Saccharomyces cerevisiae S288C: one gene and its partner. The protein of the gene in region 1 purifies or fractionates together with the protein of each later gene. This does not show direct contact. Each region holds a gene or a part of one and is shown on either strand. Other genes may lie near its edges.

What was found.
Region 2: the proteins of NOG2 (region 1) and NSA2 purify together in Saccharomyces cerevisiae (affinity purification with mass spectrometry; 11 studies listed by BioGRID, with this or other methods). This does not show direct contact.

What each region holds. Positions count from the first base shown.
Region 1 is NC_001146.8:720,620-725,423, reverse strand, and holds NOG2 (putative GTPase NOG2), read left to right. Parts: upstream 1-2,311; coding exon 2,312-3,121; intron 3,122-3,212; exon of another isoform or gene 3,213-3,486; intron 3,487-3,653; coding exon 3,654-4,304; downstream 4,305-4,804. Other genes in the region: RNA-binding ATPase activator ESF2, read left to right, coding at 1,118-2,068; CCR4-NOT core DEDD family RNase subunit POP2, read left to right, coding at 4,777-4,804. UniProt on the Saccharomyces cerevisiae protein: GTPase that associates with pre-60S ribosomal subunits in the nucleolus and is required for their nuclear export and maturation.
Region 2 is NC_001137.3:412,386-415,725, forward strand, and holds NSA2 (rRNA-processing protein NSA2), read right to left. Parts: upstream 1,795-3,340; coding exon 1,009-1,794; downstream 1-1,008. Other genes in the region: RSP5 (NEDD4 family E3 ubiquitin-protein ligase), read left to right, coding at 1-233; small subunit rRNA maturation protein LCP5, read left to right, coding at 2,096-3,169. UniProt on the Saccharomyces cerevisiae protein: Involved in the biogenesis of the 60S ribosomal subunit. May play a part in the quality control of pre-60S particles. Under normal, rapid growth conditions, high levels of NSA2 would allow the progression of pre-60S particles through the ITS2 processing.

The DNA of each region.
Region 1 (4,804 bases):
GCTACCTCGATTCTAAGTTATGCTGCATTGACTTTATTGTGTGATATACATATCGATGTACTAGAAAGGGTTTGGTTTGGCCAAGTTTTTTATTATGAGGGTGCATTTTTTCTGTTTTAACACATTTCTCATGATCCTAATAGAAGGTTGAGTAGAGATGTACATAATATTTTGCGGAAAGTTTCGACACGTTCATTAGGTTCTAAAAAATTATTATTTTTCATAAGCTATTGAGATCTTATCACCTTGCTCTGTAATTCTAAAGTTGTTCTAAAACCGCAATTAATGTTTCAATTTTGGCGCTATTAATAATGATGGATACTCAACGAGGCGTACCAGTAGCATTTTGCCATCTTAACACATTAGCAAACGTTGCTATTATTGATCCTTCCATAAGTAATTTCACACATCCATTTTCGTCCCTAAGATAAAACAAAGTCTCACAATTCGTATATTGATATTTCAAACCCCAAAGCCTGTAGCCTTTTGATTATGACCGACTTCCCAGACGTGGCCATATTGATAAAGGTGCTTTCTGATCAAAGTTAGTATTAAAGAAAGGGTAAAATTCGTAATATCGTAATATTGTAATATGAACCAAAAACGTTCACAATGTGTAGGATGCACTACCAAATAGGTTGCGTTGTAGTACTCATCTCTCGGTTGCGCGACTAGAAAGTTACTAGAAAACTCCGGAATTCCTTATAATATACTGCAATAATGCACATGTATCTTTTCAGTGCAAATTAATTATAGGAACAAACAGATAGCGACAATTCTTTAAGGGCTGCTGGATTGACAACCCCTTCATCGACCATATTTGATTAGCCAGCCACCAAATAGCGTTTCAATTGACAAACTACATTATCTCGTGAAGAATATTTAAACGGTGATATTGGGTCTGTCTGATCACATTTCCAAAGGCAATGACGTGTAAATTTTTTCTTTCTCTTGTTTTATTATTTTGAATTACTTCGTTATAGCCAGCTTTTCTCACATTGCGCAGTAAAACTTTCGCTATTAAGATTTTGAAAAATTTCAACCTGACAAACTACCCATTGCTATGTAAGTACAAAGCAAACAGTTTACTGCAGCAGAGTGAAGTAAATTTTTACGCATGAGTGAAAAAGTAAATAGTGACTTTGAAGACTTTTCCTCAGATGAGGAAACCGATCAACATAACGTCTTAATTCAGACCAAGAAAAAAATTTCTAGTAAGGATGATATCTTCAGTAAGAAGGTAGAAGACATCGAAAGTGAAAACGAGTCAGACATAGAAGAAGAGCAAAAACAAGAAGAAAAAGAGGATGTAGAACAACCAGATAAAGAGAATGGAGAAAAGCTCGATCGAGAAGTAGAAGAACAAGCTTCGTCCACCACTTCACTGGATTTAAAAACAGAAAAACTAAGGCAACTGGTAAAATCAAAGGCCGCCAAGAAGTCTAAACACAAGACTGGGGTGGTATACTTCTCCAGTATTCCACCTTACATGAAACCTGCAAAAATGAGACAAATATTAACTCGTTTTGGTGAGGTAGATAGACTATTTCTAAAGAAAGAGGACGATCAAAAGTACAAGCAAAGAGTTAAAGGTGGAGGAAACAAGAAAAACAAGTATGAAGAAGGTTGGGCCGAGTTTATTAGGAAAAGAGACGCCAAATTGTGTGCGGAGACGTTGAACGGGAACATTATTGGTGGCAAGAAAGGTACTTTCTACCATGATGATATCCTGAACGTGAAGTACCTCCCAGGTTTCAAATGGGCAGATTTGACTGAACAGATTGCCCGCGAGAACGATATCAGACAGGCCAAGTTGGAGATGGAAATCTCGCAGGCCAACAAACTGAACGCGGAATTCATTAGAAACGTGGAGCAAAGTAAGATGATACAAAACATTAAGAACTCTAGGAAGCGCGCCGGAAAAGAAGGAGAGTCTGCAGATTCTCACCCTCACAGGGAATTTAAACAACGTCGTGTGGAAACAAGCCGTGCCAATGCTCCCTCTGATATCAAGCAGCAATCCTCTGGGTCCAAAGACTTGGGTAATGTTCTCACCAATTTACTATAATATAGAATCAATAACAAATATATAAACACAACCTGTCATTTAGCACGTTTTTTTGCCCGATGCTCATCGCAAAAATTTTTCGCTTGAAGAAAAATTTTTCACTTTTCTTCTTTTTGGGCATATAAAGAAGCGTAGAATATATAAAAGATATTTACTACTTGTTAGTACTTTCCCTTAAGTGTTAACTTTGAAGATCTGTTGACTTGCAGCAAAACCACTAAATATCAGGGGAGGAATAATACAATGGGTACTGGTAAGAAAGAGAAATCTAGACGTATTCGTGAAGGTGACACCAAAGATGGTAATCTTCGTGTGAAGGGTGAAAATTTCTACAGAGACTCCAAGAGAGTCAAATTCCTGAATATGTACACTAGTGGGAAGGAGATCAGGAATAAGAAAGGTAATTTAATTAGGGCCGCTTCTTTCCAGGACTCCACAATACCGGATGCGAGGGTCCAACCAGATCGTCGTTGGTTCGGTAACACAAGAGTGATATCTCAGGACGCACTGCAGCATTTCAGAAGTGCATTGGGTGAAACCCAAAAAGATACATATCAAGTTCTTCTGAGAAGAAATAAGCTTCCCATGTCATTGTTGGAAGAAAAGGACGCAGATGAATCCCCAAAAGCCAGAATTTTGGATACCGAAAGTTATGCTGATGCGTTTGGGCCCAAAGCCCAAAGAAAGAGACCACGTCTTGCTGCATCCAATCTAGAGGACTTGGTCAAGGCTACAAATGAAGACATTACCAAGTATGAGGAAAAGCAAGTCTTAGATGCCACATTAGGACTAATGGGGAACCAGGAAGACAAAGAAAATGGGTGGACCTCCGCAGCAAAAGAAGCTATTTTCAGTAAGGGTCAATCCAAACGTATTTGGAACGAATTATATAAAGTCATCGATTCGTCTGACGTGGTAATACATGTTCTAGATGCAAGGGATCCATTGGGTACCCGTTGTAAGTCCGTGGAAGAGTATATGAAGAAGGAAACACCACACAAGCATTTAATTTATGTTCTTAATAAGTGTGATTTGGTACCTACCTGGGTTGCAGTATGTTAACTTTTTTTTTTTTTTTTTTGATTCTTTCCAACCAAGAGGATAGCACGAGAGATTTTTTTTTTCGATAGAGTATGATTTTTATTACCAAACCTTTTTGTCAGGGTGCTTCTCTATCCGTTTTAGGATAAACTTATCTACAGAAGTGTCTGTTACTGTTTTGGAAGAGTAATACTGTTCGCTTATCCATATTTCCCCGTTCTGGGGAAGCCTCATGGGTAAATTAGAAGGACAACCTTTGTTTTAAAGGTATACCTTCGCTTTTTAGAACAGCGAGGATCTTATGAGTTGAGCTTTTGTTATTTGAGACTTTATCTCGGGCTCCATACAATATGTTCGTAGTAAAGATCCTCACAATTTTCTACTTTTTTTTTTTTTTTAGTTTAATCCACTCTTCGAAACAATCAATCTCGGCTATAACAATGATTATTACATTCTCTTGGGGCAAAAGATTACCTATTATGAAACAAAATGTATTTTTTACTAACAGAAGGTTTTTTTTTTTCAATTCTAACTTTACAAGTAGGCAGCTTGGGTCAAACATTTGTCAAAGGAACGTCCAACTTTGGCGTTTCACGCATCTATTACCAACTCTTTCGGTAAAGGTTCGTTAATTCAGTTGCTACGTCAGTTCTCACAGTTGCATACTGATAGAAAGCAAATATCTGTAGGGTTTATCGGCTATCCAAACACTGGTAAATCGTCCATCATTAACACATTGAGAAAGAAAAAGGTGTGTCAAGTTGCACCAATCCCTGGTGAAACTAAGGTCTGGCAATATATTACTCTTATGAAAAGAATTTTTTTGATTGATTGTCCAGGTATTGTGCCGCCTTCTAGTAAAGACTCCGAAGAAGACATTTTATTCAGAGGTGTTGTCAGAGTCGAACACGTCACACACCCAGAACAATATATTCCAGGTGTTTTAAAACGTTGTCAGGTAAAGCACTTGGAAAGAACTTACGAGATCTCAGGATGGAAGGATGCCACGGAGTTTATTGAAATTCTGGCAAGGAAACAAGGTAGATTACTGAAGGGTGGTGAGCCTGATGAGTCTGGTGTTTCTAAGCAAATATTGAATGATTTTAATAGAGGTAAAATCCCTTGGTTCGTCCTTCCACCTGAAAAGGAAGGGGAAGAAAAACCAAAGAAGAAAGAAGTTGAGAAGACGGCATAGAGGTAAAAACGGACAACCGGTGTATAATATTAATTTAAGATTACAAGTGATTTTTTTTTTCTTTTTTTTTGTTATTTTTTTTTTTGTTCTTATTATATGGCAGCAAACATTCTTGGGGAAACAACATAGATGGGTAATTATTTAGTTTATAAAGTATAATATTCCAATAGAAAACTTAAGTTCGGTAATGATATAGCCCTCTCTATAGTATAAGGTAAATCTCATTATACCAGTCATTCCAAACGGAATTCGGTCCTTACCCGCTGCTCGCTCTTTTTTCATCATTATGATATTTTCTTTATTGAGTCTTTTCAATTATAGTAGTAGAATGATAACTGACAAGAAAGATCAGTTTGAAGTTTATTAGCGTGTCTCGTTATCAGGGCTTCCTTGTTTTTCATACTGGAAATACTTCGAACGATTAGAAACAGGCAACTCAATTTTATACATTTATAAAGGGTCAAAAAGGATTATGCAATCTATGAATGTACAACCGAGGG
Region 2 (3,340 bases), on another chromosome or scaffold:
TATTGCAGTTCACCACTGGTACTTCTCGTATACCTGTCAACGGGTTTAAAGATTTGCAAGGCTCTGATGGTCCAAGAAGATTCACTATTGAAAAAGCTGGTGAAGTACAACAATTGCCAAAATCTCACACATGTTTTAACAGAGTTGATTTGCCACAATACGTTGATTATGACAGCATGAAACAGAAGCTAACATTGGCCGTGGAAGAAACCATAGGGTTTGGTCAAGAATGATTATTCCGCACCAATTTTTTTTTTATTTATGGTGTCCGTTTTCCCAACATTCTTTCTGCCTCAATCATCTTGTTTTATATTTCAGCTAACAATAGTAAAGAGAAAACTCTTTTTTGTTAATTTTATCTGAGTTGCTCATGAAATGATTAATCATTGTTGTTTTTACAGCAACATGGAAAGCAGCAAAGAAAATGCAGGAAAACGTGAAGTGCTTTTTTTGATGATTACGCAAAGTTCTTTTCAAGTTCGCCATAAGAGGAGGTTTTCCTTTTCAAAAGGAGCATGATACCAATAATTTATATTGCCTTACGCCTCTTATTTTTTATATCCTCTTTTTAGATTTTATTAATTTTTTTTTTTATTTATATACATATAATGTGCCCTGCTTTTTACAACCATACGTTTTTTGTTTTTTAATTTTCTTGCATTTTAAAACTGAATAGTGACCTGGGTATTATACTACAGTTGAAATTGCTCTCGTGAGGTACATACTTGAAACGAGCGTACTAGGCAATCCCTCTCTTGCCAGTCACCTACACACGGAGAGTATCGGTTATTTGTCGTGAGGAAAAAAGAACCGGATAATAAATTCTTGATTTGTTATATTGTACAGAGAATGACGAGAAGTAAAAAGAGAAACCCGAACAGGACAGAGCGTACATTTTTTATATACCTGTTCTTTTGTGCTTGTAGACGTATATCGTATTATTAAATTAAAAGTAAACCTAATTTGAACCATCGAGATAAAAAAAAAAAAAACGGAGCACTTTTTTGCTCATACAAGCAAAACCGCATTGACACAGCCGTCTCTGTCTGGTTCGTTTGTGACCTGAGCATACTTACCCCAGACAACTTTACCACCAGCAGTAACCATCCCCAATTCCGAAACGTTAACTTCAATAATGGTACCTTTAGTCAAAACACCTAACTGAGTGTACATTGGAGATTGTGGATTCTTCTTAACTGCCAAAATTGGCAAGAAGACAGTTACACCTAATTCCGGATGAGTGACGTTTGCCTTTTTCTGTCTCAACGCACTTGGTCTGATGATTCTTTCCATTTTAACTGGTCTTCTAGTGAAACCTTCACCCACAAAAGTGTGTTTCGTTATCATTCTCTTCCATGACTTGGATCTAGATTTACCTGTTTTAATAACTTTGAACATTTCTTCTTCACTTATACCACGAACCTTTGGTAACGGAACTGAAAACTTATCAGCTTTTTCCAACCTCTTTTGTTTGATCGATGAAGAAATAGCTTTGGCTGTGTTATTTTGTTCTCTGTCCAATAGATATGTCGGCAAAGCATCACCATCGGTATCCAATGGTTTGGATGAACCCTTGACCTTAGATTGTTCATGTGCCTTAATCTTCTTTCTCATTGATACCTTTTCAGCATATCTCTTCTTAGCAAATTGCTTACCCTTCCAACCAGTCAACTTCTGGGCCCGTTCAGAAATCTTATGAGACTCTCTTGCCTCTCTCTTACGTTTCCTTTCTTCGTGATCTAATCTTTTACCATGCTGTTTGATGTGACGCTCGATATAATCGTTTTGAGGCATTGTTTCGTTGTATATATCAGTATTGATACGAGACTGACTACTGACTAAAGATAAAAACGCCAGATACGAAAACCAAGTTCTTCTCTAACTGATACCTAATCCATTCAATTGTCTTAAAAGTGCATCTCATCGCTGTCCGGAAAATTTTTCATCGGATTGTTACTAGAACCGTTGCCGACGACATAAAATTTTTTACGCCTTTCCTGCAAGGTTGAAGAAAAGAAACCGATGAGCTATACCATTCTAAAGTGTCAAAAGAGATGAAGAAATTAAAATTGTCAACTAACACACAAATCCAAGAATGTCTGAACTTAATGCATTATTAAAAGATATCAACGGCTCGCTCACTGCGACATCAGAATCCTTGGAGAGGTTGTCTGGGATTTATAGTAATTCTGCGACCGATGAGATTCCTGAAAGTAACCAACTACATGAGCATCTATTTTACGACGCTAAGAAGCCTGCTGAGAAAGTATCGCTGCTATCCTTAAAAAATGGGAGCATGCTAGGGTACATAAATTCTCTATTGATGCTTATAGGCAATAGGCTAGACGACGAGTGCAAAGATCCTTCTGCTATGGATGCACGTGAACGCTCTATTCAACACCGTGTGGTATTAGAGCGTGGTGTTAAACCACTAGAAAAAAAGTTGGCTTACCAATTGGACAAGCTGACTAGAGCATATGTGAAAATGGAAAAGGAATATAAAGACGCTGAGAAGCGTGCACTGGAAAAATCTACCTTAGTGAATCATAGCGGCAACGACGATAGCGAAGATGATGAGTCTAGTGAGGATGAAATAGCATACAGGCCAAATACCTCTGGAATTATCAACACAAATAAAAAATCATCAGCATACAGGGTGGAGGAAACGGCTAAGCAAGAAAACGGGGAAGAAAACGATGACAATGAGACTGGCGTGTATAAACCACCAAAGATTACGGCTGTTCTACCACCGCAACAAACGCATTTTGAAGATAGATTCGATGCCAGAGAACACAAAGATCGTAGTAACAAATCGCGTATGCAAGCCATGGAAGAATATATTAGAGAGTCATCGGACCAACCGGACTGGAGTGCATCTATTGGTGCTGACATTGTGAACCATGGAAGAGGCGGTATCAAATCTTTGAGAGACACAGAGAAGGAACGTAGAGTCACTTCATTCGAAGAAGATAATTTTACCAGATTGAATATTACAAATAAAGCTGAAAAAAGGAAGCAAAAGCAACGAGAAAGAAATGCAAGGATGAACGTTATCGGTGGTGAAGATTTTGGTATATTCAGCTCAAAGAGGAAGCTGGAAGATAGCACTTCGAGACGTGGGGCCAAGAAGACTCGTTCTGCCTGGGATAGAGCTCAAAGGAGACTGTAGATACAAAAAGTTTATTTTCTTATATCCTAAAGCGTTTATAGACTTAATATTTAAAAGTTAAATATAAATGAAGGGCACTGGTATATAAGCTATTAAAAACAAGAATTTTGGCTTTCACGACATTAACGTGTGAGAGGTTTAGGCACCATTGCCTTTATGATTATTAGTCCC